Regions from separate parts of the Mus musculus genome. Here regions 1, 2, 4, 5, 6 and 7 are each reported to be linked to region 3. Evidence: microRNA targets listed by miRTarBase, many of them from high-throughput screens and not tested one by one. Region 3 holds a microRNA gene; each other region holds the end of a gene's coding sequence. Distances are between the middles of the regions.

Evidence for each region. The annotated mature microRNA mmu-miR-10a-5p reads UACCCUGUAGAUCCGAAUUUGUG and lies in region 3 at 2,969-2,991, shown strand. An mRNA with a match to its seed (bases 2 to 7 or 8) in the 3' UTR can be bound and repressed. Matches are read on the target gene's strand: a 7mer-m8 pairs with bases 2 to 8, a 7mer-A1 pairs with bases 2 to 7 and ends in A, and an 8mer does both.
Region 1: the mRNA of Tfam is a reported target of mmu-miR-10a-5p. Seed matches in the 3' UTR shown: 8mer at 2,125-2,132 and 7mer-m8 at 1,071-1,077.
Region 2: the mRNA of Tpgs2 is a reported target of mmu-miR-10a-5p. Seed matches in the 3' UTR shown: 7mer-m8 at 1,386-1,392.
Region 4: miRTarBase lists Irak2 as a target of mmu-miR-10a-5p. Seed matches in the 3' UTR shown: 7mer-m8 at 1,828-1,834.
Region 5: miRTarBase lists Ttc23 as a target of mmu-miR-10a-5p. The part of its 3' UTR that is shown has no 7-base or 8-base seed match.
Region 6: the mRNA of Slc2a4 is a reported target of mmu-miR-10a-5p. Seed matches in the 3' UTR shown: 7mer-m8 at 779-785 and 7mer-m8 at 1,741-1,747.
Region 7: the mRNA of Ocln is a reported target of mmu-miR-10a-5p. Seed matches in the 3' UTR shown: 7mer-m8 at 2,926-2,932 and 7mer-m8 at 1,720-1,726.

Annotation. Positions count from the first base shown.
Region 1 is chr10:71,224,850-71,228,926 of GRCm38, forward strand. It overlaps Tfam (transcription factor A, mitochondrial), which reads right to left. Exons shown (of 7, transcript NM_009360.4): 7 at 628-3,850. The coding sequence ends at 3,710. Among named protein-coding and RNA genes, the nearest start is that of Tfam, 11 kb to the right of the region's middle.
Region 2 is chr18:25,135,298-25,139,297 of GRCm38, reverse strand. Tpgs2 (tubulin polyglutamylase complex subunit 2) reads left to right here. Exons shown (of 7, transcript NM_001004361.2): 7 at 159-3,261. The coding sequence ends at 392. Among named protein-coding and RNA genes, the nearest start is that of Tpgs2, 32 kb to the left of the region's middle.
Region 3 is chr11:96,314,218-96,318,295 of GRCm38, forward strand. Mir10a (microRNA 10a) reads left to right here and starts at 2,948; the gene lies at 2,948-3,057. Hoxb4 (homeobox B4) reads left to right here and starts at 4,050. Exons shown (of 2, transcript NM_010459.7): 1 at 4,050-4,078. It also overlaps a transcript of Hoxb3 not described here.
Region 4 is chr6:113,692,978-113,697,055 of GRCm38, forward strand. It overlaps Irak2 (interleukin-1 receptor-associated kinase 2), which reads left to right. Exons shown (of 13, transcript NM_172161.4): 13 at 691-2,049. The coding sequence ends at 803. Tatdn2 (TatD DNase domain containing 2) reads left to right here and starts at 4,073. Exons shown (of 8, transcript NM_001347356.1): 1 at 4,073-4,078.
Region 5 is chr7:67,725,607-67,729,684 of GRCm38, forward strand. Ttc23 (tetratricopeptide repeat domain 23) reads left to right here. Exons shown (of 11, transcript NM_001168475.1): 11 at 422-970. The coding sequence ends at 536. Among named protein-coding and RNA genes, the nearest start is that of Gm34140, 10 kb to the left of the region's middle.
Region 6 is chr11:69,940,061-69,944,138 of GRCm38, reverse strand. Slc2a4 (solute carrier family 2 (facilitated glucose transporter), member 4) reads left to right here. Exons shown (of 11, transcript NM_009204.2): 10 at 1-80; 11 at 567-1,853. The coding sequence ends at 770. Ybx2 (Y box protein 2) reads right to left here. Exons shown (of 9, transcript NM_016875.3): 5 at 3,981-4,078; 6 at 3,708-3,811; 7 at 3,372-3,549; 8 at 3,009-3,093; 9 at 2,536-2,913. The coding sequence ends at 3,043. Among named protein-coding and RNA genes, the nearest start is that of Slc2a4, 6.1 kb to the left of the region's middle.
Region 7 is chr13:100,495,437-100,499,514 of GRCm38, forward strand. It overlaps Ocln (occludin), which reads right to left. Exons shown (of 9, transcript NM_001360536.1): 9 at 1,068-3,479. The coding sequence ends at 3,378. Among named protein-coding and RNA genes, the nearest start is that of Gtf2h2, 4.9 kb to the left of the region's middle.

The sequences.
Region 1 (4,077 bases), not on the chromosome of region 3:
GGGCTTCAAGGATGTTACGCAGGCTCCTTATCCTAGCGCACGTTGTACAAATTTCAGATGTTAGAAACTTAAAATTTTACAGACTGCAGAGATGGCTCATCATTTAAGTGGGCTGGCTGTTCTTGTAGAGAAGTCGGGTTCAGTTCCTAGGCCCCTCATGTAACTGCAGATACAAGAAATCTGACACCCTCACACAGGAATACATGCAGGCAAAACACCAATGCCCAAGAAATAAAAATAAATTTTTAAAAATTACGTAAGAGATTTTGGGGTAAAACCCAAATCCAAAAATTAAATTCGTTTGTACACACACACACACACACACACACACACACACACCCTGAAGGTCACCTCACATATTTCCAGCTGTTTCCACTTCCTATGACCTGTCACAAAGGCTTTCCTTGCACTGCCAATGCTTAAGGGTTAAGATTAGGAACATTCTGGATCAAAGGATGCTGGGGATTCACCAACTTTTACCATTTTCTATCCAGAAGGAATGTGCAAATACATCTTTTACCATTTGATCCTCTTGGACTTCATGTTTGTATCAGAAACCATTATAGTTTCTAGTGAGTCTGATTTAAATGTTAAAAAAAAAAAAAAACAGGTTTCAAATTCTTGTTTAGCATTTAATTTAAATAATGCAGTTTCTTGGTCAGCATTCCTAACTGTGCAAAAGAATGGTTTTATAATGAATTACTATCAGTGGTTAAATAACGAAAATATTTGATTTGTGAATGATAAACAATTGATGGTTACCAGTTGTGCATAATTTTACCTTTTGCTTAGGAAGTTTTACAAATGAGTAATACATTCATTTTATCTCTTAAGCTCAATTACAAAAAAAGAAATATGTTCTTTACACTTCAAAACATACAGGCACTGTTTTAGCATTTGCAAACTTGTCAGTGACAGGCTGGTGGCAAATTCGGAAGAGGAGGGAGGAAGCCTGATGGTGGTGGTGAGGCAAGCTCTTAATCTCAGCACTTAATCTGAGGTAGGTCTCCGAGTCTACAGCCAGCTGGTCTACAAAGTGAGTTACAGGACAGGCAGGGCAACGCAGAGAAACCCTGTCTCGAAAAACAAACAAACAAACAAACAAACAAACAAAAACAAATAAACAAAACCTGGGAGAAAGGAGGGTTGCTATCAGAGGAAGAAAATTCTTATAATATGGCCAAACAGAACTGATGGGCACTATGGCTCCGTCTGCATTAAAGCTGTGGTTTCAGCGCCCCCTGGTGGTCCAGTGCGTGCGGGTGAACCCAGGAAGGCTTTCTAGCTACTGTACATCCGTATGCTAACACCAGCTTTAAATTCAGAGGTTCACACTTAGACCAACTAGGGTTTGTTGTTTTTAAGGATACTGGAAAACAGGGCAGCCCAATTGCAGTTACATGACAATAAGTAGAAACAGCACTGAGCCCTTGTCAGCTTGTGCAGCTTCACCGCATGCCTTCAGCTCCTCCCAACACCTCCCCGATCCTCTGGCAACTGCTTTTGCTTAAAAGAGACTCTGTCGTTAGAAAACAGGACATGGAAAGCAGATTACAATGTTATCAGTAAGCTTGTTTTACAAACAAGGAAAACCAAACTGAACCAAGTACCATGAGAAGGCTTCCGCCCAGGCCTCTACCTTTCCCATTCCCTTCCCAGACTGAGCTCCGAGTCCTTGAACACTCTGCAGGGTGCCTGGAAAGCTAGGAGCTAAGTAGTTACATCTTAGAGGTCCGGGCATCCCTGTATCGCTGTAGTGCCTGCTGCTCCTGAGTTGCTCTGAAGCACATGGTCAATTCTCTGAGTCACCATTTTCTCCATTCTAAGGACAGCTTGGAGTTAGTTCCTTTCCAGAAACCAGGGGCGTGTAGAGCTCACGTCTCTCCTGGATTTGCACTTTGGAAAGACAGACTGCACTGGTTCACACTGGCCTCCTTCCACCACCTTCAAACTATGGCTTAAACCCATGCCATCCAACAACCCAGAATTCCAATCCACGGGAAAAATTATATTTTCTTAAATTCATCTCTAAAATTCTGATTATCTCTTCTGGGGAGAGTTGCAGTTCTGGGATTTGGATCCAAGGCCTTGTACATTCTAGGCAAGTTTTCTACCCAGCTCAAATACCCTGTTTTACATATATAACTCTTACATCTCTCCTCCATGCGTTCTTCTGTTCCTACCTTGTCAAGTTCAGTGACTGCAAACTTACTTTCCCAAAATGTACAATCTCTAAGCCTCCTCAATACAAAACATACATGAGTATGAACTCTGTTGTCCTGTGTCTCAGAGATCTGCTCAGTGGTGTGGTGGTTGAAGCCATGAGTTCTCTAAGGGCTTATGGGATTTGCCAGCTCAAAGTGGGGAAGACACTTTTTCCTGTGCAACAGTAAAGATTAGGAGGGTCTCGCTCCACACAGTGGTCTTCTGTACTGTGCTACACCAGGATTCCAGGTTAAAGAATATTTTCCTTGCTAACACAGAGAACAGTTAGGCTTATAGGGACCCAGTGATGACCCCAAGATAGGGTGACAATATCACAGAAACATCAAGGACATCTGAGGAAAAGCCTTGCATGGCCAGTGGCCGTGAGACACCATGGTGGCAAACTGTCTGCGAAGGGCCATCCCTGTATGCTGTGGTTTCCCAGTGTAGTCTCTGGAGCACAGAGCACCCACACACAACAAACCCAAGAAAGCATGTGGCTGTGTTCCAAGAAATTCTATTCACAAACACTAAAGATCATATTAATTTTCACACTGATACTTTCCTTTTTAAAAACCTATTTAGAACATAAATCCATTTCTTGATGAGTAGGCCCTGAAGAGCAGTTAGTGAGCTGGACCTGGCTGGCTCACCACAGTTGGCTTTCTCCTGCATAGGCCTTTAGCTGTCATGGATAAGCTTTCAGATTTCTGACTTTGCAGACTTGTTTTTCACATTTTCTCATTTAAAAATTTATACCACACAAGCTCTATGAATACTCTCAAATGAAAAGTAATTTCTAAAGTCCCTACCTAAAATTGAAAAAAAAAAAATCTGTTAACCAAATGGTTCATCTTAAAATACATAATTTCAGAAACATGTTTGGAAAATTAGAGTTTTTATTCTATGCAAGAAAAACCTATGCATAGACTTGGTACATAATTTCTTAATTTGAGAAAGATGTGTAAATCTCTCTGTTACTACTATAAAATGCTATCAGGACATCAGCAATCGCTTATTATATACAAACATCAACTTACACATGATTTATGTCTAGGAATCATTTCATCTAGGAAAGCCTGGCAGCTTCTTTGAAAATGCAGTTATCCACAGCTCTGCCACAGCTGGGAGAGCAGGTCCGGCCTGGGACCCAAGGGCCACACCCATATGTAACGGTCATCAGTGTAAAAACATCACAAAACCACCACACAACTGTCACCAGTGTGAAAGTCACTTCACAGTCTATCTAGCCCATCAAATGCAGAATGATTCACCACTGCATGCAGATGCATGGACAGTCTCCGTTCCAGTTCTTAAGCAAAAGGCAGAACTCAGCATCATCTTCTGTCAAGGCTCAAAGTATTAACAGAAAGTCCATGGCTACAGAAAAATGATCTGAATGTCAAAGGTTAACCACCTTTATCCGTTCTAGTTTGACACTTTAAGGCTTTGAGACCTAACTGGTTTCTTGGGCCTAATCCCAATGACAACTCCGTCTTCCATCTTAATGCTCAGAGATGTCTCCGGATCGTTTCACACTTCGACGGATGAGATCACTTCGTCCAACTTCAGCCATCTGCTCTTCCCAAGACTTCATTTCATTGTCGTAACGAATCCTATCATCTTTAGCAAGCTGAATATATGCCTGAGAAAGAACATGACAATGCTTTACTTAGAAAACAGCAATCCATCTCTGGAATGGAATCTACAGGGACATGATTAGTGTCATTCTCCATGCACCCAGGGGAATACAGAAATCATTTTTATATGTTAGGTGAGACAAGGTTGACAGAAAGTATTCTCCAAGGACTGATGGGCTGTTAGTTTCAGGACTTGGGAGAGAGGAGTGAGGGACAGGTGGGACAAGCCATG
Region 2 (4,000 bases), not on the chromosome of region 3:
TATTTTACAGCATTTTCAATTTTGAAATAATCGCATGTACTTTACCAGTTGACACTGAAAAAAAATGTAGGTTAGTGATAGTTAATTTGTAATGTCTGTACTGTCGCCTGCTCTCCCCCATTTCTCCTTCCAACTGAGACTCTATTTGTGCCTTACAGCAATGGTTCAGTATGTACAAACCCATCACCTACAACACAAGCCTGCTCACAGAAGAGTCCGACAACTTTGTGAACAAGCTAGACCCCAGCAAAGTGTTCAAGAGCAAGAACAAGATTTTAATCCCAAAAAAGAAAGGGCCTGTACCACCTGCCAGTGGTCAGAAAGGGCCTGGGCCCTTACCTCCTCCTACCTCTAAGCCTACCACAGGCTCTGGAAATCCTGTCCGAAAATAAGCATTCTATCACCTCAGTAATATCCAGACACAGATGGCCCTGTGGCAGCGGCATTCTCCTGAGAGACCAAAGCCTTAGGCCTTTGTTTCCACTGTCATTAGCTAGGGGCTGGGACGATCACACTGAATTCTCCTCAGGAGTTCCTTCCTCTGTAGGTTGTGACAACCTCATCTCCAAAGCCAACGAAGACTTTCAGATGTACCTGAGCTTTCTTATGTCTGTACCCAATCCTTAACTTCTTAGCAGTAATTAGAGAGGTCACCCTCCCAAATAAACCCATGGTTTGACTCATGAAGCATCAGTATCGACTAGTTATGTGACCATCTCAGTTAATGAAAATTGCACACCTTCAGTTGCATTCACCACACTTCAGCTATGCACCTGATGGTAGAGTCCATATTGGACAGCACAGAAAGGGGAAGGTTTTTGTCACAGAAGTGTTTTGGACAACATTGCATGTGAACACGTTCATACTGTCCTTCAGATACAATAACGTAATGCCTTAGTTTCATACGCTTTATGTTTTGAGAAAACATTTTCAAAGACAGTCTTGTGTTCTTTACAACCTAGACCAGGAATGCTTAAAGGTGTGATCCCTAGACTTAGAATTGTGCACCAAAGTCACTGGTATCATGTGGGGATAAGATGATTGGATTCCAGTTCTGATCTGCAAAATAAGAATTTCCAAGAAAAATTCCAGGTGTCAGGGTTTTCTTTTTAAGACAAGGTCTCACTATATAGTTTAGGCTGACCTATAGCTCACACACCCTATATAGCTTCCTGACACACACACACACACCCTGTCACTAACGTTTTAATTACAGATGTACAGTATCATGCGTAACATTGGATTTTTAGTCAATTTAACAGTACTTCTGAGTTTGAAACTTTCAGCTTAAGATCTCAGTGGTTTCAAACCACAAAGTTTCTTTGTAATTGGGTAAAGCACGTATAACTTTTTTGTTTTTTTTTTTTTGTTTTTTTTTTTTTGAAACAGGGTTTTTCTGTGTAGTCCTGGCTGTCCTGGAACTCATGGAGTTGTGGCTGCTAAATGACTTAGTGCATAGAGTTAGTTATCCTGTCCTTCCTTTGTAATGTGACCCTACGGTTGCTAATTATGACCTTCCTGCTAGCAGCTGTGATCTCTTAAGTCGTTCATTTTTTGCTTGCAAGACACCAGTTGGGTTCTCACTTGTGCCTTTATACCTGTCCTTTCCTTGTGAGGTTCAGCTCTAGTCTGCCTCTACTCAAAGCTCAGTGAAGCTCCAACTCCCCTAGGTGAGCAGTGATTTTTTTGTGCTTCTCCAGAAAGCCATCCTAATCAATTCTGCATTAACCCAAATAAATGTGTCATATTTTAGGGCAATAAATTAGAATGAATGAGTAAAGTTGTGAAAATGTTTAACTTTAAAAATTGAGAAGACAATAATTGCCTTATTTTAGAGTCTGGATATCTTTCACTCATCTTACGGTCTGTGTCACAAAACCATCAAAATGAAATAGGTTACACATGAAGCCATGAATGCCACTGGTCTTTTCTGCACCCAGAAACTATGTTGTACCCAGATACTACCTAACTGGATATCCCACCAATAACTGTCTTGATAAGGCTCTAAAAGACCAAAAAGTAACTCGTGAGACATGGTGGGATGTGAAACTTCTTACCCTGTATCTAGGAAAAGTTCTTCAACACCATTGATGCTGTTTCTTCAGATGTAAAATGAAAATTTATGGAAGGGCTATAAAACTATTAAATAATGCAAATGGAGTACACATGGAGATGCTTTCAGTAAGCAACAGCTTTTAAAATAGCATTCAGAAAGTCCATTTTCTCCCCATGAATTACCTAACCAACAGAACCAATTGCTTTACCAGATGATTTTTTGACAAAATTGATTATTTTAACACCTATCTTTACTGTCTATTTCAAAGCCATTAGCTTTCTTATAAAATCGCAAAGACATTTCATTCCTGAAGCAATTTGGTACTTTTGTGGTGTAGTTACCTCTCTGATAAAATGATTTCTAATCAAAACTAGAAATAGCTAAAGAATGGGGGATAACTGAAATTTAATTGGATGACAGCCTCCCACAGCTTCTGTTAGACCTCCTGAGGAGAAGGATCAAGGCTCTCATTTTCCCAACTGACCACCCAGCCCTGTCACAGAGCTACCTACAAACCTGGCCCTTAGTGCATAGTTTGTTCTACTGTGTTTTCAGGACCTGATGGCTTAATACACATAAGTTTACCCGTGTGTATTTCTGCAGGCCAGAAGTTCAATGTCAGTTTTATAGAGCCAAAATCTAGTTGTCACTGGGCCAGGACTTGGGAGGCTCCTATAGAGTCTGTCCCTGCTTCCTCCTGCAGATTGTTGTTTGGGTTCATATCACTTCAGTCCTGTTGCTTTCACTTCGTCTTCTCTTTCTCCAAATCTCTTCTGACTGTCCTTTATAAGGACACTTATGATTGGATTTGAGGCATGTCGGACACTACAGGATGATCTTCTCACACCTGCAAGGAATCCTTACAAAGGAATTGTACATTTCAGAGATTAGAACCGGAGGCCCCAGAGATGTTGAGTCAATGTATTACAGTAGTGTTTGCTACTTCACCATTTCAAGGGACTGTGGATATAAATGATTGTTTTGAAGGCCATAACGGATCTATAAGCCACTTTAGAGCTGGGAAACTAAGCTGCCGTTTGTACCCCTGCTCATCTTCTCTACATTGTGTTCAACAATGAACCTTGAAGAAAATAAAACCCAGGTCTCCAGCCTTCCCCAGCCCCGTGCATGCGCATTCTCCTTCACCCCCAATTCCTTTTGAGTAAGTTACTTGTTAAAATAAATCCTTAAGGTTCAAAACAAAATCAGGTATCTTCAACAAAATAATGTTTGCCTTTCATCACTTCCGAGCACTTACGGGAAGATAAAGTCACAAGAGAGTGTCAGTGGTAATGACCTAAAAGACTAGCAATGACACAGGTAAGGTACTATGCTCTTTAACATTCACAAAGGTCCTAGAGAGCAATTTAATGCCATAAAATTAAAAATTGCTAATACAAGGCTTAGAGAGATGGCTTAGGCTTCTCTTACAGAGGACTGGACTTTTTATTCCAGGGGATCTTACGCCTCTTCTGATTTCTGCACACACACACACACACACACACACACACACACACACATCACAGCTTCAGCTTGCTACCTAGGTCACACCAGGACAACTAGCCCACAGGGACAGTAGGTAGTCATATGAAGATAACTAGCCACTTGAACAAAGATATCCACCTGTCAGACATTGTCCACTAATGAGCTGATAGCACCCCCTAAAGTAAGGCCCTGCAGCCTACATATTTCTTTTGTCTTTAAAAACTTCCCTCTGCATAGCTTCCATATGCACCTAGCAGTGTACTGTAGTGTAATCACACATACTCAGGATCACAACATCCTGCTATTCCCAAATAAACTGAAACTCAGCTATTTCTCTGATTTTAAATTGTCAGTGGTGTTTGGAGAAATTATATTTGATTTTACCAAATTCTTACATACACTATCTTTAGTCTTTTACCACCCACCCTAGGGAAGAGAAAAAAAGGGGGAAAGGAAAGA
Region 3 (4,078 bases):
TAGATGCCCAGTGACACACTCTCTGCCCTTCAGGTGCCAGTGCCAGCATAGTTGTTTAGTGTTCGGGCCTCCGAAGGATTCCCTCCACGGGGTCACACGGTCTTGCTCTCAGCGCTGGGCACGGGAGCTGGCAAAAATATTGGAATGATGGAAAAATCAAAGCAAAGGCGGGTCAGCTTGAATCGCATTGGAATGGAGACTTTTGGGGGTTGGGGGTTGGGTGGGGGAACAGAGAAAAGTAGAACTGGAGAGGGTAAACTGAATCAAATCCTGCTCTGTCGTTTTTCTCCCAAGTAATGACCTGCGCAAAATTCAATATGACCGAGCGAACTGCGTGAGCATATTATACTAACTGCCTGCTCGTGGGGGAGGCCCGGAGAGGGGTGAACCGCAGGTCACGGCGTCTAAAAATTATTAAAATGTTCGAGAACCTCGTGACGCGCCTGCTGTTTAACAAAGACTGCCAAAGTATGAGATTAATACGAAAACTTGCTCTTCAAAAACAAAAACACACCAAAAAAAAAAAAAAAAAAGTCCTTTTCCGGCCTCCGAGGGGGCATGTGGTTCCACTGCCCGCAGCCGCGGTTCGGTTTTCCGGATACACAATAGTGGACAGGAGCGAGCTCCGCTGTTGCTCAGCGGGCCACGGCCGGTCGGCTTGGAGCAGGCGGGGAGCGGCTGGGTGAGTACTCTTGCCGGCTCAGGCCCTTGCTATGCTCAACGCGCTTGGGGTGCCCGGACCCGCTAGAGACTGACCTCCGGTTGGCCCTCGGGTTCCTGTTCCTCTCTGTTTCCCTTCCAACTCGTCCATAAAAGGTGGATGATTTTTCTGTGCCGCCGGGGGTAGGCCTGTGATGGCGGAGAAGGGCTGGGCTGGGCAGCGAGGGGTCACACTAGCAACCTGTGGCTGCCAGGAGAAGGCAGCCAAGTGGCCTCTAAAGGATCCGGAGCACTAGAGATAGGGCAGAGAGCGTGCCCAAGCCCCTGGCTCTGCGTGTTTTCATTGTTATGGTTATTGTTGTTGGTATTCTAGACATAGAGAGGTGAGGCTGCGTGTAGCTGCAATGAAACCTGTCCTGGAGTTGCAGATAAATCCTGTCTTCCGCCCCTGGCGTCTACACAGGGAGGGAGTGTGGATGGGGGTTGCAGCTGCGCCTTGGTGGGAGGGCAGGTGGTGGCTCTCCTATTCGCAAAAGCGAAAATCTCAGTGCTCCGGCCCTAGGTTCAACCATACCCAGCTTTGCATCTCTCTATCCCTATTCCTCTCCCTTGGAGCTCAGGAAACCTGGGCCACATCCCTTGTTAAAGCATAGATCAGCAAAATGTAGACTAGCTGCTCTCTGAAACAGAGTTAGACCAGTATTCAAGAGCAGGACAGGAGATATGGGATAGGGGAGGGGCCTGGACATTGGAGTGGGTCGTGGTACTTCTAAATACCTTTTGAGAGGACTGTTCTTGCTTGATGCTTGGGTCAAAGCAGCACACTTTGTCTATGGGTGACTAAATTGAACCCCGTCTTTGATGAAGATCAAAACTACAATGTATTTTCTCTGACTCTCTCTCCAGTTAAGTATGAGTCTGGCCTATAGGAGGGCATTGGGGTTAGAAAACAAACCCAGAGGACAACATTGCCATGCCTAGATCTATGAGGTTTAACAATAACAGCAGCAGCAGCAACAACAACAACAACAACAACAACAAAGACTGAGGTCTCTGGACCCAGTTGCCTGCAGGTGGGAGCTCTCCTGCCCATTTGCAAGGGTTCCTGGTGTGTGCATGCGTGGGTTTGGCTTGTTTGTGTATGTTCATGAAATTGACTGTGTTGTAATTTACTCAGTAAGGGCAGAAGTATCCCCCAAGCCTAGGGTGTTATAGCGGTGGTGATAGTGAGAAAGACTCTGCTGGACACACTTGCCCTCACCTGGTCACAGCTCTCCCAGTTTAAACTCCAGATCCTCAATTTCTCATTTTTTCAGTTTAGAAAAGTCAAATGTTAGTGGGAGCTTCAGGAAGTTCACCCAAAAACTCCAGAATCCCATTTTGGCCACACAGCCAGCAACCCAAGCAGGTGGATGGGCCCAGTTAGTGAGCCTCTAGACAGAGGATCCTTGCCTGGGGATAAGGTGTGGGTAGGGGGGGTCCTCCTCACACCTCTAGGGGGGTGTCCCCTTATTCCAGCCTCCAGGAGGTATGGGGGGGATATGTGAGGTTGGGAGGGGCCTGCACATCATCTGGCTGCAACTTTTATGGTTCCTCATTGCCCTTCATTCGGAAATGAACTGCCTTTGATCTTCTTCTCAGGTTGTAAACGGAATTGCCCGTCATTAAATATGGGGGGGGGGGCCATCTGTTTGGTCTCCCAGCATTTTTCCTCACAGCTGTTTTTCTCTCTCTTTTTAGCATTCACTTTTTCCAAAAGGACTTTTATTACACCCCCTTCACACCCAGACACCTCTCCCTCCTCCCTTTGCTTTGGAAAATATCTATATATGTGTTTGATCACAAACTAAAGGCTGTGGGGGCAAGGGAGGAACCTATTTGGGGTTTTGTATTTTTTCTTAAAAAAAAAAAAGTCATGGGGGGAGGGGAGGGGCCGAGGGCACCCAGAAAGGCCTGATTCTGACTTCGAGGCAGCCTCGGGATGACCCTTCCTTCTTTTGTGCTTAGCTAATGTTTACATCTAATAATTCATGCGCCACCGAAAGTCGCGCGGCAGCCACGAGGTTCGAGTCCCTTTGCACAACAGCTGCCTTTTTAAAAAATCTTATTTTATTTTTTGAATAGAAAGTTGAAACCCCTTGTAATCCCAAGAACGGACCCACAGTGACTTTTCTGCTCCCAGATCTCAAAATTAAAACAAAACGAAATAAAAATGAAAACATTCAGATCACACCCAAAAGAAGAACGCACGGAAAGTAAGAGAACTGGAAATTTCCTGGGCCAAGAAGACCTGTCTGTCTTCTGTATATACCCTGTAGATCCGAATTTGTGTAAGGAATTTTGTGGTCACAAATTCGTATCTAGGGGAATATGTAGTTGACATAAACACTCCGCTCATATTCTTTCCCAGAAGAAAAATAGATTATTTTCTAAATGAGGACAATCCAGTGACTGCCTTCAAGAAGACTCCTTTTCTTTTCCTCCCTCAACCAATGAGGGAGAAATCTCATCTACCTGAGGTGTCCCCATGCACACCCCTGGAAGCTTGGGTCCTTGTTCACTCAAGAGATTAATGTTACTGGTGTTTTAAAATTTATCTTTAAGCCCCAACCTACCTATTCTTATTCTGGGTCCAGGGGGCTTTATTGGAAATCATGAGGAGGAAAAAAAGATTGCTGAAGGCTGCAGTGTGCAAAGGCAAAGGAAATTTGCTTTTTAAAAGGATGCGAAGATTGCTGTTTCGTTGAATTCAAGACAAGATGCCCTGAAAACATAAGGTTGCCATGGGTGTTCTTGTGCGTGTGATGTTGGTGGGGGCGTCACAGCTAGGGCTCCTTTACTTAGTATTCAAGGTTGTGAAATTTCTTTCTGCCACACTGACAGAGGCGGCGGCTTTAGCGGCAATTAGAACTCTTGGTTAGCATTGCTTCGACGAATCTGGAATTAGCAAATTACTATTCAATTGGTTTTAGGAACTTGCGGGTTTGGTTTGGTTTCATTGTATCTTCTGTCTTTAGTGGAGGGAGTCCAGCCGTTCCTCTGACCTTGGGCCTTGTGGGTTAAAGGGAGGGAGTGTTGAGGAGGACAGACTGACGGACACAGCCGATGCTCATAGTGCAGCTAAATGCGATTTGGAAGGCGAAGTCTCCCCGAATTAGTGCGTGAATTTCCTATCGATCTGCTCGCGGTTCCATTCATCTCTGACAAGTCCCTCTGCGCACCCGCCTTCTAGCTCCCGACGCCTCCTCACTCACCTCCTACCCCTCCCCATCTGGCTGCACTGAGAAGCCCCAAGCTCAGCGCCCCTATGACCTAGTGGGTACCCATTTCAAGAAGGCGCTCCCTGGTCGGCCAACCACTTAAAACCCCACACAGACACCTAGTGCGTGAGCTCCCTCTTATCCTGGGGAGGAGATGG
Region 4 (4,078 bases), not on the chromosome of region 3:
CCCAACCATCACCCTTTTCTAGTTCCTCATTTGTAATGAAACGAAAAAGGAGGGATGTTAGCATACAGGTGATTCCACCAGGCTCCTCCCAGGGACCTAGCAACAGTCCTCACGTGCCACTGCAGCCAGGTGCTTCAGGTGCGGGCTGTGTATACAAGGATTGCCCACTATCTAGCTCTTTCTCCTTTCTCTCTCTGTTACCATGTGTTTCTGGACAGTCTCTCCCCCCCCCCCCCCGTTCTACTCGTCTGCTTCTACCCCTTCTCTGGGTCCTCACTCCCCTCCCCTCCCCCAAATAAATCACCTTATACCAGATTTGTTGCTTGGTGTAACTTCTCAGGGGTGTGCTTTGTCATGAGTCCACCGGGTACCCCCTTGACGCATTATATTTCATAACAGAAATAGCTATGATTATTGTTGATGGCCACACTTCTCCCATGACTGTGGGAATATGGGAGCCTCTTTGTGGAAAAGGTGTATATGTGTGGTGGGGATTGGGGGAGCCGGAGTGTTAGAGTGTCTATGGGGGAGGGTGCAGACTTCCCTGCAACGGCATAAGCTATGACATGCTACTTGTATTTGGGCCTGTTTCACAAACTTGGCATGAGACTCTGATAAGGTCTGACTCAGAGAATTTTAACGGCAACACTTGCTGAAGGTACTCTCTTTCTGTTTTCTGCTGAACATCAGCTACAGAGACTTCATGGAAAATTGAGATCAATGAAGCCAAAAGGAGACTGATGGAGAACATCGTACTCTACAAAGAAGAGAGACTGGACAGCAGCGAGCTCTTTGGACCCTGATGACCAGCGCACAGCTGAAGACCCTTATTCTCAACTGGACAGACAAACGTCCAGGCAGGGAAGAGGTCTTTGGCTGCCCAAGGTCTGTTGAGACCCACACAACCCAAACATCAGCCTGAACAGAAGGAAACATGGCTTCATCAGAGTCGAGTTGCAGGGGGGTGGGGGTAGGGGACCTCAGCTTATACAGACACCATATCCAGGAAGCACTCCTCCTCTCTGAGTCGTCTTAGTTAGAGGGCTGTGAAGTGGAACACCTTGTATGTGATCCAAGGATTTGGGTGGTTTTTGTGGTTCCGGGGAACCCACGTTGTTGACCACCCCAAGAGATGCTGTTGCCCCCAAACCTCTTAGTTCTCCACAACGGACAGAGCAATCCTGCAGCATCCGTGGCGTTTTCCAGAGTTATCATCTGTCAGTCATATTTGTAGACAGCTTTCTGCAAATTCCCACTTCTTAAAAGACCTACAGCCGGTGTCTCCGCAAGTTCTCAAGTTCAGGACTGCAAAAGCAGGACGGTTGGCAAAGGACTCCGTAGGCTTTCTCCTTCTTCAGTTGGTGATCCTGTAAGCCACCGGTATTTAGGAACTGCCTGCTTTTCACCTTCGACCTCCCATTGTGCCCATATTTATTTTAATGGAGACTCAGAGGTTGTGTGTTATTTATAGCTAGGTGAAGAAGCATGAGAAACAGTCTCATGTTTGATTCTGCTGCTAGTTAAGTCAATCACTTGGTGGGTGGTAGCTCAGTATCCTTGTAAGATAACCCTGCTCTGTTCTCCCTGGGGAAGAACAGAGCTGCTCTATTCAGCTCTTGGGAGGATGGGTGCAGCGGCTGCAGAAGCACTTTGAAAATGTATCTGTTCTGTGTTCTCAATGGAGTAAAAGGTATGTAGTTCATGGCTCTGCCATGTAGAAAATGTTTATGAAGTGAATATATTTTTGAAAAGTCATGTTGCAAACATGTTTTGTAAAACAAAGCTATTTCTTTCTTTTTTTTTTTGTTTTTTTTTTGTTTTTTCGAGACAGGGTTTCTCTGTATAGCCCTGGCTGTCCGGGACCTCACTTTGTAGACCAGGCTGGCCTCGAACTCAGAAATCCGCCTGCCTCTGCCTCCCGAGTGCTGGGATTAAAGGCGTGCGCCACCATGCCCGGCTAACAAAGCTATTTCTAATTCACTATTTAAAAAAAGAATTCCATTATAGTGACAAAATAAAAATGTTTGTAATCTAGCAGCTGTCTTATAATTTTGTGTCTGGGTGAATTTGTGTACCGAATATGTTTGGCTCAAGGATTCTTGCTTTTGCTTTCATTTCTGTATGTATTGTTTGTACAATGTATGTATGCATATTTATGTATGTGCATGTGGTGTGCACACAACCATGTGCATATGGAGCTCAAGAGATGACTTGGGTTTTCAATCCTTCTTCCACAAGGTATGTATGTATGTATGTATGTATGTATGTATGTATGTATTTTAGTTTGCTGTTACACAAGGCTAGCTGGCCCATCTCTGTTGATGTAGAAGTGCTTAGATTGTATATACCCTTGCTGTACAGCCAGCTTTTATGTGGGTCCTGGTATTTGAACTTAAGACTTCATGGTTGTGGCCAGTGATTTAGTACATTGTCACTTTAGGGAGGGTTTTTATCAGCAATGCCACCTTTGCAGGGCTTGGGGCACTTGTATAACCCTTCATGGATATTAAAGTTGCTTTTATTTTTACTGTTACAAATAGGGATGGTTGCCAGGTGGTGGTGGCAGCACACACGTGTCTCTAATCCCAGCACTTGGGAGGCAGAGGCAGGCAGAATTTTATGAGTTTGAGACCAGCCTGGTTGGCAGACCTAGTTCCAGGACAGTCAAGATTTCACAGAGAGAGCCTGTCTTGAAAGAATCAAATCAAACCAAAACAACAAAACGACACCCCCCCCCCCAAAAAAAAAAGAAAAACCCCACAAACAAATAGAGATGGCTTCTGGGATGGTTAACCTTCACTGTGAACTTGGGTTAACAACCCTCTAGGAGTTAGATATGCTCTGGCTGTGACTAGGAGGGAGTTTACCGAGAGGATGAACTGAAGACAGAAGACTCTGAGTATGGGAGGTGCTATTCCATGGGTTTGGCTCCTGCATTGGGTAATTAAAAAAAAAAAAAAAAGTGAAGGCCAGCTGAGTGTGGAGAGCCTTTAGTTCTTGCCACCACAGCTGTTGGCCAAGAGCAGTCTGGGAATGAAGTAGTAGGACAAACTCTTTTCTTTACTGTTTTGGTTCTGGGGGGCGGGGGCATTTTAAGTGTCACAGGCTGGTCTGGAATTCCTGACCCTCCCCTCCAACACCTCCAGAGGGCTGCGATTACTTACAGACTTGTGTGACACCTGGGTAATTTGGTGATTAGGATCAAAAGCTTGCTTCTCCTGTAAGTGCTCTGCTATTGAGCTGCAATCATTACCTTTTCTGGGGTTGGTGTGGGAAGGTTTGAAACAGGGTCTCAAGAAGTTAGGAGGTGACCTTGAACTCTGGATCCTCTGTCCTACGGCTCTCTTGATGTGGGGTTATATCTCTTCTTTTCTTTCTCTCTCTCTCTCTTTTTTTTTCTTTTCTTTTGATCTCACTCGGAAGCCTAGGTTGATCGGAACTCATTAGCTATCCCAAACTGGCTTCGAACTCAGCAGTTCCCCAGCCTCAGCGACCCAAATGGAATTACCAATGTGAGCTACTATGGCTGCTTCAGGCACCTCTCTGTTCTCCCCACCCCCCGCTATTAAAATTTTTTTAGTTGTAGTCAGGTTCTAAAACGTCTAGGCTGGACTTTGTCAATCGTCCTGCCTCTTCTTCCTGAGCAGTTGGTTTTACAGGTCTATCCGGCAGGCCTGGTTCTGTTTTTTGTGTGTGTATGGCTTGTGCCTGCTAACCCCAATTCCGTCACTTTCTGGGTGTGTCGCTTGGTTTTTATCGAGCCACAGTTTCCTGCGTTGTTTTTTTTAAAAAAAAAAAAAAAAGGGGGAGGGGGGATGGGTGAGTAGGTGAGTGAGTGACAATGTTTGGCACGCGCGTCCGGTACCAAGAGGCCCGCCAAGTTACCCTCCATCGGTATTTTCGGCTCCCGGGCGTCCCCAGCAGGCCCTTCGCGCGGATCCAGGGCCACGTGAGAAGCTCCGCCACATATCGCTCCCAACCAACCACAGAGCTTCGTGAGGCGTAGGGGCACGCCCCAGAACGTCGGACCAACAGGCGCGCTCCGTCTTGCCCGAAGTCACGCCCCTCTCCCGTTGGA
Region 5 (4,078 bases), not on the chromosome of region 3:
GCCTTGTGGGTGGGTGTCAGTGTCACAACTGTACCTTGAAGACTGGCAGAAAGCCCAACACTACCTAGTGAAGGCCGCCATTTCAGAGTGGGTATTCCCTGAGAGGATATGGACTGAGGATCAAGTCCAGGTCAGGAAAGTACAGCAGTGGCTTTCACTGGAGGCACCCTTTTAGGGCAGCGTAAGTGGGTCAACAACGCTTCCCGTCAGGACTTGACAGTATTTTCCACTCTCATTCCACGGATGACCTACCTAAGACCTGATTTGCCTCAGCTCGGTGAGCATGGCTGCAAGGCATTAAGAGAGGAGAAGCACGCCTTGTGTTTGATGTTCTTGGGCCATGGGTCTCCTCTGCATCCCCTCCTGAGGCTTCTTCCCAACAGCAAAGGCCCTCGCTCACCGGTCTCCCTTCCGTCTACAGGATCTCCGAGGCTGCCGGGAAGTCAAGGCAATCGGTGAAAGCCAAAGTAGCATTCTGCACCAGTGCCCCCCAGTACGGCATGCCAGGGAAGGGCAGGCACAGTGTAGCAGACTGATGCGCCCATGTGCCGCCCCAAAGAAAGCTCCAAGAAAGACTTGGCATTGCTTGTAGGATGCTGAACAAACCTCTCTCCAGCTCGAAGGTGAAGTTCAGCAGCCACTGCAGGTTTTTAAGGCTGTTTACTTCAGAATGCAATGGCAGTACCATGAATCTTCCACACCCCAATTGTGAATGCCCTTTGGGGTGATATGGTGCTCTTGGTTATCTTCTTTCACCAAGGAGACTCTCCTCTGTCATCTCTGCCGTGGCTGAAACACTCTTCCCAAGTTGGAGCTTCTTGACAGGAAAGGAGACTCACCTGGTGACAGGCAGGGCTCCTGCTCCATCCAGAGCCACATCTGGGGCAGCGAGACCCTGCACAAAGCCTCCCTCGTATGAAAGTAATAGTAACTGAGAAGAAACTACCAATAAAGAGATGCTTGTGCTAGCAGCAGTTTGTGTGTTTGAAATGAAGACTGGAGCTGGCAATGCTGCCCCGGGACAGAGCGCTTGCCTGGACTCCATGGAGCCTGCTATGGTTTAAATGCGAAATGTCTCTCATAGGCTCGTATATTTGAACACTTGGTTCCCATTGCTGAGAGGCCTTGAGGCAGGAGTCCAGTTGGATGAACTGTGTCACTGGAGGTGGGCTCTGAGGTTTCTTAGCCTTAGTCCCATTTTCTATGCACTCTCTGCTTCCTGATGGCAGACTCAGTGGGACTAGCTGGTGGTGCCTCTGCCACCTGCCTTCCTCACCATTGTGTGTGTGTGTGTGTGTGTGTGTGTGTGTGTGTGTGTGTGTGTGTGTGTGTAAATATGCACACACACACCCCTACCTGCCTTCCATCTAAAAGCCAAAATCAACCCTTTGCTTCTTATTGGCTGTTTGAGCAACCAGCATTATTTTTCTCATTGTAAGGATAAAAAGAATAGCATGGAAAACAGGCACTGGAATAGACCCACAGCCATGGTCCGGCTGACTGCAGGTCTCCGGTGTTTGGAATTGATCTGCAGGAATAATATGGAAGAGTGTAGAAGTATGGGCAGGGGAGCCCCTCAGAAGCTGAAAGCAGATCTCAGAAGACCATCCTAGGGGTGGGGGTGTCTAGATGACCAGGATGTTATGACAAATCCTGACACTAGAGGAGAATAAGGACTCTGTTAAGACCTGGGCTACATTGTCCTACATTACAACAAGGAATCTGTCTGCATTCTGCGCATGTGCCAAGACCTCATATACCTAAAGTATATGTACTTGAGACCTCATGGTCATGTAGTGGACTACTGTGTTTGATGGGTGAGCCTCTAAGACACAATTGCAGTCAGGTGTGGTGGAGTTGCTCACTGTTCTTATCCAGAGAGCTACAAGTGGAACAGAGGGATGGAGGGTGCAGCATCTGGTGGGGAAAGGAATGGGCCTAAAATTAGAGATAGGGTCGGTACAAAAGCAGCCTGGAAGTTAAAGTGATTAGCTGCCCCTTTAAAAAGAAATCTAGTGTTCTTTACTGGGACACTAGGAAAGCTGTCCTGAGGGCAGAACCCCACCCACTAAAGGCTCCAAATCTGGAAAAAGCAAATGTATTTGAAGGTTGTTAAGAGAGCCTGAACTGAGAATGTAGGGGGCCCTGCTTAGAAATGAATACCTGGAAATAGAGACCTGAGTGACTGTGGTCCAAGTGGGCCAGATTGTATTGCAAGGTGGCAGTGGGACATGACGACATTATTGTGCAAATATGCGAAACTCAAGTGGGGGAGGTGGGTCACAGAAGTTGGCACCAAGGCTCTGAAAGGCACTGAGGCCATTGTGTGCTGTAACAGTGACGCCTGAGCTGTGATGGAGACCTCAGGATGCTGGAGACACCAGGACCACACAGGAGGCGTCAGCTGAAGGACTCTGCAGCAGACTCATGCTGTCCTATAAGAGACCATGAGCTTCAGGCTGCAGAACTGTAGCAGCAGGTATACCCAAGCTCTTCAGAGCCCAAATGCTTCTACTGTGAGCCTCGGGTATGTAGAGCTGAAGGGTTTGGTATTTATTTGCCCTGCTGGGTTTTGATCTTACTTTAGTATGACCTTCCCTTGTTATGGAGTGGGAAAACTCTGTGCTGCTGATGTTGGAAGTATGATTTCCTCCTTGGACTGAATACATGTTGCATTATGAAATGGCCATGGGCCTCTGGAGACAGGGGCAAAACGCTGTGGTTTGATTGTGAAATGCCCCCTATACAGTTGTATGTTTGAATATTTTGTCCCAGGATAGGTTGGGCCTAGAGGAAGTGGATCAGTGGGGGGTGGGCCTTGAGGTTTCATCACCCCACCCCATATCCCGCCTACACTTTGCTTCCTGACTGTGTTTGCAGTGTGGCCAACCACCTCAGATTACGGCTGATCTGCCCTCACTGCCATGATGGGCTGTATCCCCTCGAACTGTAAGCCAGAACCAGCCCTTCTTCCTTGTTTCTTGTCAAGTATTTGATCACAACCATGAAAAAAAAAGTAACTAAGAGGTGACCCTCAGCTTGACCTCCAGAAGTGCCAACAAATGCTTGCACTCCGATGCATCACCGGATGATGGTGCTGAGGCCCTCGTGGAGTGGCTTGGGAGGAGGACACTGGCTCGATACTTCCTTGTCTCTCGTGGCCGCTATCCTAGGCAGGAAGGACAACTGCTACTAGAGCTTGCATACCCTCTACTGCCATGTCCAGAGTGGCCTTCATTCTTCTCAGGGGATGCCACAGGTGGGCAAGGGTGACAAAGCTAAGCAGTAAGCTTAGCTCTCTTTCTCTTATTCCATGGCTCACGCCAATGAGGCCACAGGCCATTGCTAAGAGGGCAACAGGACTGCAGTATAAACCTTTTGTGTCACGCCCACTTGTTCATAGTGACTCTTCAAGAACTGAAGGAGAAAATAAACATGATAGGGTGGTTGGCAGGGCCCTCTGTCTCCTCAGGAGTGCGGCAGCTCAGCAGGCAAACCATCTTTGCTTATGCCTCTTCTCTCAGACTCAGGGCTGTGGGGTGGCAGCAAGGTACACAATTATTTGTGGTCACTGAAGAGTATGCCGTCTAACTGAAGAAGTGTGTTTCAACATGGCTAGTTGGAAACAAATCTTAAAAACAGAGGCTGCCAGAGGCTTCCTTGGCCCTGAAGTCTTATGTCTGAGTCCTTAGCCCCCAACGACATGTAGAGAGAGATTCTCTGAAGGATGCTAAGATCACAAGGCAGCATCAGGGGTGCAGAGCACTGGCTGGTGGGATCAATGTCCTTATAAAGAAGAGAACCAAGAGAAAACATCTCTCTCTACTCCACGAAGACAGCAGTAAAGTGGCTGTCTGCAAGCCTATCAAAACTAAATCTGTGAGCATCCGTGGTTTGTATTCTCCGACCTCCAGACCTCAGATATAAACCTGCATTGCCAAAGCTACCCAGCAGCACAGCCAGACGACACTCGAGCTGCTGGGAATATAGTTTAGAATCACAAGTAATAAACTCCTCTTTAAATGTTAGCTCCTGCCCCAAGAAGGATAGGCTGACCAGCATAAAGAGTGGTACGCTG
Region 6 (4,078 bases), 26 Mb from region 3:
GCCCAGCCGCCATGGCTGTCGCTGGTTTCTCCAACTGGACCTGTAACTTCATTGTCGGCATGGGTTTCCAGTATGTTGCGGTAGGTTCCCTACCCTTTGCCCAGTTTCCCACATCCGTGGCCAGAGGGAAGGCAAATCCTCCCGGCCCCCCCCCCCCAGTTCCCTCACTGTCTGGTCAGGGACTCCCAGCCATGTAGGTGGTCTCTGGAAGATAGGTCTGGTGGAACTACTTCACCACAATCAAGGGGGAGGCAGGCGGAAATAGATGGGTGGAAATAGGTGGAAATCCAGCAGCTTAGATTTAGAAGTCTTCTAAAAAATAAACCAGTGGTATAATTTAAACTTTCTATTAATGCTATAAGTGGTTTAGAAATCTACTCCAATTGTACACTTAGGAGAGCAAAGGGTAAAAAAGCTAAATGAGATTTTCAGTGAAAGCTTTCATTTCTGGTCATTGCCACTGCCTCTTAAGGGAGCAAACCTGCTCCTCACATAGCCCCAGTTTCCTTAGTCTTTGGTTCCTGGCTTCCCATCTCTGTCAACATTTCTTTCTCCAACTGTCCCAGGATGCTATGGGTCCTTACGTCTTCCTTCTATTTGCCGTCCTCCTGCTTGGCTTCTTCATCTTCACCTTCCTAAAAGTGCCTGAAACCAGAGGCCGGACGTTTGACCAGATCTCAGCTGCCTTCCGACGGACACCTTCCCTTTTAGAGCAGGAGGTGAAACCCAGTACAGAACTTGAATACTTAGGGCCAGATGAGAATGACTGAGGGGCAAAACAGGGTGGGAGAGCCACCCTCTCCACCCAGACTCCCTCCTTTCCTCTACAGCACTTTAGCCCTCTCTTCCCTGTTACCTCCAGGTTGAAGGAACAGCAGCCTGGGGAACTGGGAAGCTGAAGGGAGGGGTGGTCCATGTACCCCTCATTCCCCCTGTGTGATTCTTTTGGATTATTTATGTGTGTGGCTAGGCTGTGGCCACCTAGATGGGCTTTCTCCGTCCTGCCTTCCTCCTGCCCCTACCCAGACTCAGCTCTAGACTACTTTCCTCCCCTTTCGAGAAGGGGTCTGCAGGAGGGTGGGGTGGCCCTGAATTCATCAGGATAAACAGCAGGGGTGGGTGTGTGAGCGAGTGCTTTCCTCCCACAAACTGGCACTTCCACTGAACTCTTGCCACACAGGCTCTGGGTGAAGGGGGTTGTCTTGACCCCTCCAGGGCAAAGGATACACCCTCCCAAAATCTAGCCCTGCCTCCCCACAGGCTCCACCCTCCCGGGCAAAGGAACACAATAGTACATACCTGACAGGGCAAGGACGGTTAGAGCGCATCAGTCTCCATTTGGGGCCCTAGGTTGTTCCCAGGGCTGCAAAGCGTAGGTACCAACACTTTCTTGTTCCCCTCCAGGAAGGGTGCTAAACCCGAAAGCTTCTGACCAACTAAGGGCGGGAGGGGATTTGAAAGGCTGCCTATAAACACTGGTTGGGAGGGAGCCTTTGGTATTTTTGTATGTTTTGAAGAACGGATAGGGAGCAGAAACCCAAGGGCTGCTGTATTAAATGTGTATATAGAGATTCGTCCATAAAGTCACTGTTTGAAGATGAGTGTCCTGTGCTGGAGGAACTGGAGGGTGTGCAAAAAGAAAATGCCTCACTCACCCTTTGCACTTCATCCTTCCTGGGCTCAGGGCACCGAGGCCTCTAGATTCTGTCACCTTTTTTTTAGGGGGGGGCGGGTTTCGAGACAGGGTTTCTCTGTCCTGGAACTCACTTTGTAGACCAGGCTGGCCTTGAACTCAAGAAATCCGCCTGCCTCTGCCTCCCGATTGCTGGGATTAAAGGTGTGCGTGTGCCACCATGCCCAGCTGTCACTTATTTACATCCACTTTCATTGCCCTCCTCCAAAAACTAGGGTTTCACTGCATAGCCCAGGCTGCCTTGTAGCAAACCTCTTGCCTCAGCCTTCCAGAGAGCTGGTTTGCAGGCCTGAACCCAAATGCTCTACTTTTTAAAACAATTTGTTTTCTGGAAACAGAAACGTGGCTCAGGATGACCTGGAATTAGGAATCCTGTCTCAGCTCTCTGAGCGCTGGCACATCTTTCTACTTTGATTTTTATCCACTGCTTAAAGATTTACTTATTTTATGTGAGTACACTGTCACCGTCTTCAGACACACCAGAAGAGGGCATCAGATTCTGTTATAGATGGTTGTGAGCCACCATGTGGTTGCTGGGAATTAAACTCAGGACCTCTAGAAGAGCAGTCGGTGCTCTTAACCACTGATCTATCTCTCCAGCCCTTATCCACTGCCTAAATGAACAGTAAGTGGTTTGTAAACTGTATTTACAAGTGCCTGGGCACTGCTGAGACTTCACCCCCAGTAACAGATCCAGTTACTCTTGGTGAAAGGGTTCATGTCACAACTGAATAGCTAGGGGTACTGGAGCAAGGAAGTACTAGCAGGCCCTGCCCACTGTTCGGGTCTCAGCCCCACCAGAGAGTCTTCATCCTCAAACAGAAGAGCCAGAGACCAGGACAACAAGAAAGCCTGCTTTTGTTTTTACTGGAGGCTCAGGTGGCACATGACAGTTCATAAAATGGCTTCAGAGGTGTTGGGGGGAGGTCGAAGGGAAACAAAAAATAAATGGGTGGGGAAGAAAAACAATCAGGAGGAGGTATGAGCTGGCTGGTTCCTTCTCAGCCTGACTAGGGAGGGAGGTGATGCCTCGGAACAATAAGGATGGATCCCTTCCTTCAACCCATGCTAGGGGAGAGGGAAAAAAAAGAGAAAAAAGCCAAAGGCTGGTGCTTTGGCCCTCCTGAGTCTCAAGGGAAAAGCCGATGTTTTGATGTCATGAATTATGGGAAAGTGGGGAGGGGGATGCTGGGTAGAGTCAGTTGGAAACTGGCAGATACCTAAGAGAAAGAGAGGGAGACCAATCATAAAGGGTCACTTGGCAGAATCCACCACCCCTCCCCCTCTCCGGCTCTTGGTGAGATGTAGCACTCACCAGATGGTAGCTCTGGGTGTCCTCTGAGTTGGAATCACTCCAGTATGGTGGTGGGGGGGTCCCCACTGTTGATAGGCGCGGAGGTCTGAAGAGCAGTGGTGAACTGAGACTTACTTGTTTACAGCCCCCTACTTCAACCTTTTCTTAACTTTCCTCTTCTCATCCCTTCCAACCAGTTCTCACACTTCACACCCCAAAGATGGGCATGGGGATGGGACATGCAAAGGCACCCTGGGCTTGACTTGCCTGCATAGGGGTTTCCTGGTGAGTAATGCCAGCCAGGGGTGGGCCAGGGAGGATGCCAGAGGGACAGGGACAAGGAAAGTAGAGGTGCAAAAGGACAGAAAGTACCAAGACCCTCACCTCTGCGGCTATAGGCTGCCGGGGGCCAGGGGGCTGCTGCCGACGCCGCTGGAAGTAGGGACGGTTTCGTGGACGCTGGGGCTCAGGCCGGGAGCCATCAGTGGGGCCTTGGCTGGGCTTGGTCTCTCCATCCCCACCTTCTGTGGTAGGCTGTTGGGGTGGCCTGGGGCGGAAAGGCCTAGAAAGAGAAACAAGCTGACAGGATCAGAGAATTGGGCAGACTCCCTTCCCAGGATTCCTTGGTTTGTCCCCATCTGTTCCAGGCTCTAGAACTTTTGTCATTTCACACAGGCCCAACACTGGACCCTGAAGGGGAAGACAAAACAACAGTCTTACCTTCGGTACCTGGGCCGGAATCTGGGTGGGGGCACCCGTTCATCTCCCTGCTGTTGATCACCCTCCAATGGTGCTGTCTCCTTGGGTTCTACCCCATCAGAGCCCTGGGAATACACAAAGGCCTAGGTGGGCTGTGGAACGCCTGATGTCTTTGGAGCTTCCTTGCTCTTCGTTCTACTTCCTGTGAGGACCACAGTCTCTGCCCTCACAACTCCCCAACTTCTTTCCATAATGTAAGAGAACTAGCCTCCCCGGCTGCAACTCTCCTCTCACCTCTATGGGCTGTTGCTGGTTGGGGGGCCGAGGGCCTCGCACAAACCGCCTTCGATAGAAGAAGGGTGGTGGGCGCCGTCGTCTAGGTCGCTGCCCCG
Region 7 (4,078 bases), not on the chromosome of region 3:
TAAGTCAGACTCATGTGCTGAGGCCAGACCCATGGAGAACATGTGATGTTTGCAGGGAGTATAAATAGGACTCAACAGACAATGACAGAGGTGGGGCTTGGCTTGCTGGTACAGCCCGCTGTGCGATGCTTGTTTATCTCCACACTTCCCGAGAGAGGCACAGCCCAGAACTTCTTCTGAATGTCCTTCCTGGTCCCTCCTGCTGACTTGTACCAATTCATCTCAGGCCTGGCCATCCCTGCTAGGTCATGCCACTGCTGCTGCTATCCCAACACTACTGTACTGAACTGCTGGTATACCCAAGAAGTGTTGGCAAGTGAAGAATTCCCATACACCAAGGGGAATCAGCCTTCTGCTCTGGTCATTCTTGACTCTTTCAGGTCTTTACAGATTCTTCAGATTTCAGATGAAGCTTTTCATATTAATATAAAGTACTTCAAATACATTCAAAACTAAAACAAGATACTTAGACTAGACAGAGCAACCCTACATGACACAGTATATCACTTAGCAGTCAGTACCCTACATGACACAGTGTATCACTTAGCACTCAGTACTCTACATCACCCAGTGCATCACTTAGCAGTCAGTGCCCTACATCACACAGGGTGTAACTTAGCACTCAGTACCCTACATGACACAGTGCATCACTTAGCAGTCAGTGCCCTACATCACACAGTGTATCACTTAGCACTCAGTACCCTACATGACACAGTGCATCACTTAGCAGTCAGTGCCCTACATCACACAGTGTATCACTTAGCACTCAGTACCCTACATGACACAGTGCATCACTTAGCAGTCAGTGCCCTACACTACACAATGTTTCACTTAGCAGTCAGTCTAGGATGGAAAAATAAAGATTTCCTCGTCCAAAGGATCAAGATCGCACCTCCATCTAAACTCACTAGTATGTGGCTGAGGCAGATAACATACCAGAGCACTACTTTCCTTATCCATAAAATGAGAACAAGCAACAGTCCCATGCTAAGAGGCTGTTATGAGAACTGAACGAGGTATCCTGTATATCTGTATATACAATGTTAACTGCAAACAGTGGACTAGTATTTACTGTAAATACTAGACTTTATTTCAAAAATATAAAGCACACACAACAAAACATCATTGCCTTTCCTGGGGGAGGGGTTAGTTCATGTATGTTTATTCTAATGTTTTCAGCTTTTCAAAATGGAAACCTTGATCTTACCAACTTACAATAACACACACACGTGCGCATCATTTAATGCAGGGAACTTCATAAGAAGGGTTATGTTTTCACATAACTATTGAAAAAAAAAGCATGTAAAGAATAGTTTTACTAACAGAACGTAGGTATGAAAACCAAAAACCATAGGTCAGAATGTAAAACGCCTCTAAGGTTTAATCTAGCCCCTATTTTACATTAAGAAACTGCCTGAACAGACCGATGGACACACCCTGGTACTGGCTTCAGGCCTGCAGTGGTAGCACCACGTTGGAAAAGAATTATTTCTTTTACTCTTCCAACATCTAATTTTATGGCACAGTTTTATAATTCCTGCCACTTCATTTTCTTCATCTAACAGAACAGACCTGCTTTGTGAGGACACTAGCAAATTGGCTTCATAAACTACGGAGGAGCCAGGCCTGGAGGAGAACCTCTAATCTACCTGCCACCCGGGGAGTGGGAGGCAGGAGGACTGCAAATTTGAAGTCTGCCATCTTGAGCTACCTAGTGAAACCCTGTCTAAATCAAAACAAAACAACAGAAAAGAACAATGATTTCCAAGAGGGAGACGTTAATTAACATAATGACCAGTTAAGGAGCTCCAAACAGTCTTTCCTACTCGATGTCAATCCAAAAGGGACGAAAATACTTTTTTGTACTATGTTCAGCATGTAGAAAATAAAATTTTTCTTTAATTTGAAAAAAAAATTGACCCAGTATTATACAAAAACATTATTTAAATTTTTATCATTGGAAAATAATTCAAAAATTGTATAAACAAGAATATGTACTGCCATGTCTGAAAGGTATATAAAACATTTTCAGCTAAAACAGACCAAATTGGGCTGGATGTCAATGTGGTCTATGAAGCACTATCAGCTAATTTTATACTATTAACAAAAATTTTAATTTATAAAGAACATCCTGGGATTTACAGACACTGTTTAAGTATCATGCTGTTCTATGAACATTATCCCATTTCTAGTCAGAGTTTTGTTCACTGCCCAAGGACTGGGCAATCACCTGCTAGCACAGCACCCAAGGTAGTTCACACACTGAAACTTTAGTATAGCTTTGCACAACTGAATAGAACAGTACTAATGACATCAAATGAGCACATTATAGAAAGAGAACATCAGGTTTAATACCTTATAAAATATGTACAAAACTTGAGCATTCCTGTGAAATACAATTCAAGTCATAATTGTAAATGTAATTGGATACTCTGATACAATGGAAAGGTCTAGTGGGTTATCAAAAAAAAAAAAAAAAAGCATGTAAACTATACAAGATAAAAAGCACTTTAACCCTGGATTTAAAATCATCTTTCAAACGTAAATATATATTTACAATTCTTAAATTTCACATACTTGTTAATTTTATATGATCTTAAGTGTTAGGAAAAAATGTAAAGCCAAAAATAATCCTATTCATTTGTTAAAAGTCAATATAAGAAAAACAGTGGTGGGGAACGTGGCCGATATAATGTATCGTATTTCCCCTGAAATACAAAGGCAGGAATGCTGTCATTTGCAGTCATAAAACAGACTTAGCCAAAACTGCCTTAGCAGTTTCAGTTTGGAGAAGTCACCGCAGGAAAAGTGATGATACCGGTCCACGACGTTAACTCCTGAACCAGCACTCAGAGAAGCTGTGTGAGTTCAAGGCCAGCCTGGTCTACAGCGTAAGTTCTAGGTCAGCCAGGGCTACACAGAGAAACCCTGTCTGGAAAACCAAAAACAACCTGATTCTAAATAACAGTCACCTGAGGGCTGCTGCAAAGATTGATTAGACGGTCTACCTGGAGGAACACACTGCCTGGCGTGTGAACCTTCACATCAAAGCTCAACACACATCACAGCTCACACCAGGACCTTTCTTGACATTTAAAATATCAAGCAACATTTTAATTCTTAATACAAGAATCAATGTTGAAACTGTAAAATCCTTAATTGGAGTGTTCAGCCCAGTCAATTATCAAAAGCCATTTATAAAATGCTTCAATACTGGAGATAGGAAACTGATGGAATTAAAGCCACGGAAACTTTGTAATGATCACAAAGTTTTAACTTCCCAGATTAGAGTCCAAAGTCAGTTTGCCTCTGGAGAGAATTGCAGAGACATCGTGCAGGCAGATGCACCTCTCCCTTCTCCCGCAACTGGCATCTCTCTAAGGTTTCCGTCTGTCATAATCTCCCACCATCCTCTTGATGTGCGATAATTTGCTCTTCAACTGCTTGCAGTAATTCCTCTTACTTTTATAATCTGCAGACTGAGACAGAGAGAGTAAATCACATAAATGCCAACACACTAAAGAATGAGACTCTAGCTGGGCAGTGGTGGCACACGCCTTTAATCCCAGCACTCGGGAGGCAGAGGCAGGTGGATTTCTGAGTTCGATGCCAGCCTGGTCTACAGAGTGAGTTCCAGGACAACCAGGTCTTTACAGAGAAACCCTGTCTCGAAAAAACAAAAAAATTTAAAAATGAAATAAAACTCTAGAAGTGTCACTGGATATATTAACTACACTCATGGCAGAACCCAATGCAAAACTCCATGGTTTTTTGTTTTGTATTGTTTGTGGGCTTTTTGTTTGGGTGTTTTGTTTTGTTTTGTTTTGTTTTAACATACTGGGTTTTTGTTTCTGATTTTCCTTTAAAAAAAAAAAAGGAATGATTTATTTATTTTATGTATATAAGTACACGGTAGCTCTCTTCAGACACACCAGAAGAGGGCATCGGTTTCTATTACAGATGTTTTTGAGCCATCATGTGGTTGCTGGGAATTGAACTCCAGACTTACTGGAAGAGCAGCCAGTGTTCTTAACCTCTGAGCCATCTCCCCAGCCTCTTCCTTTTTTCTAAAGTGTGT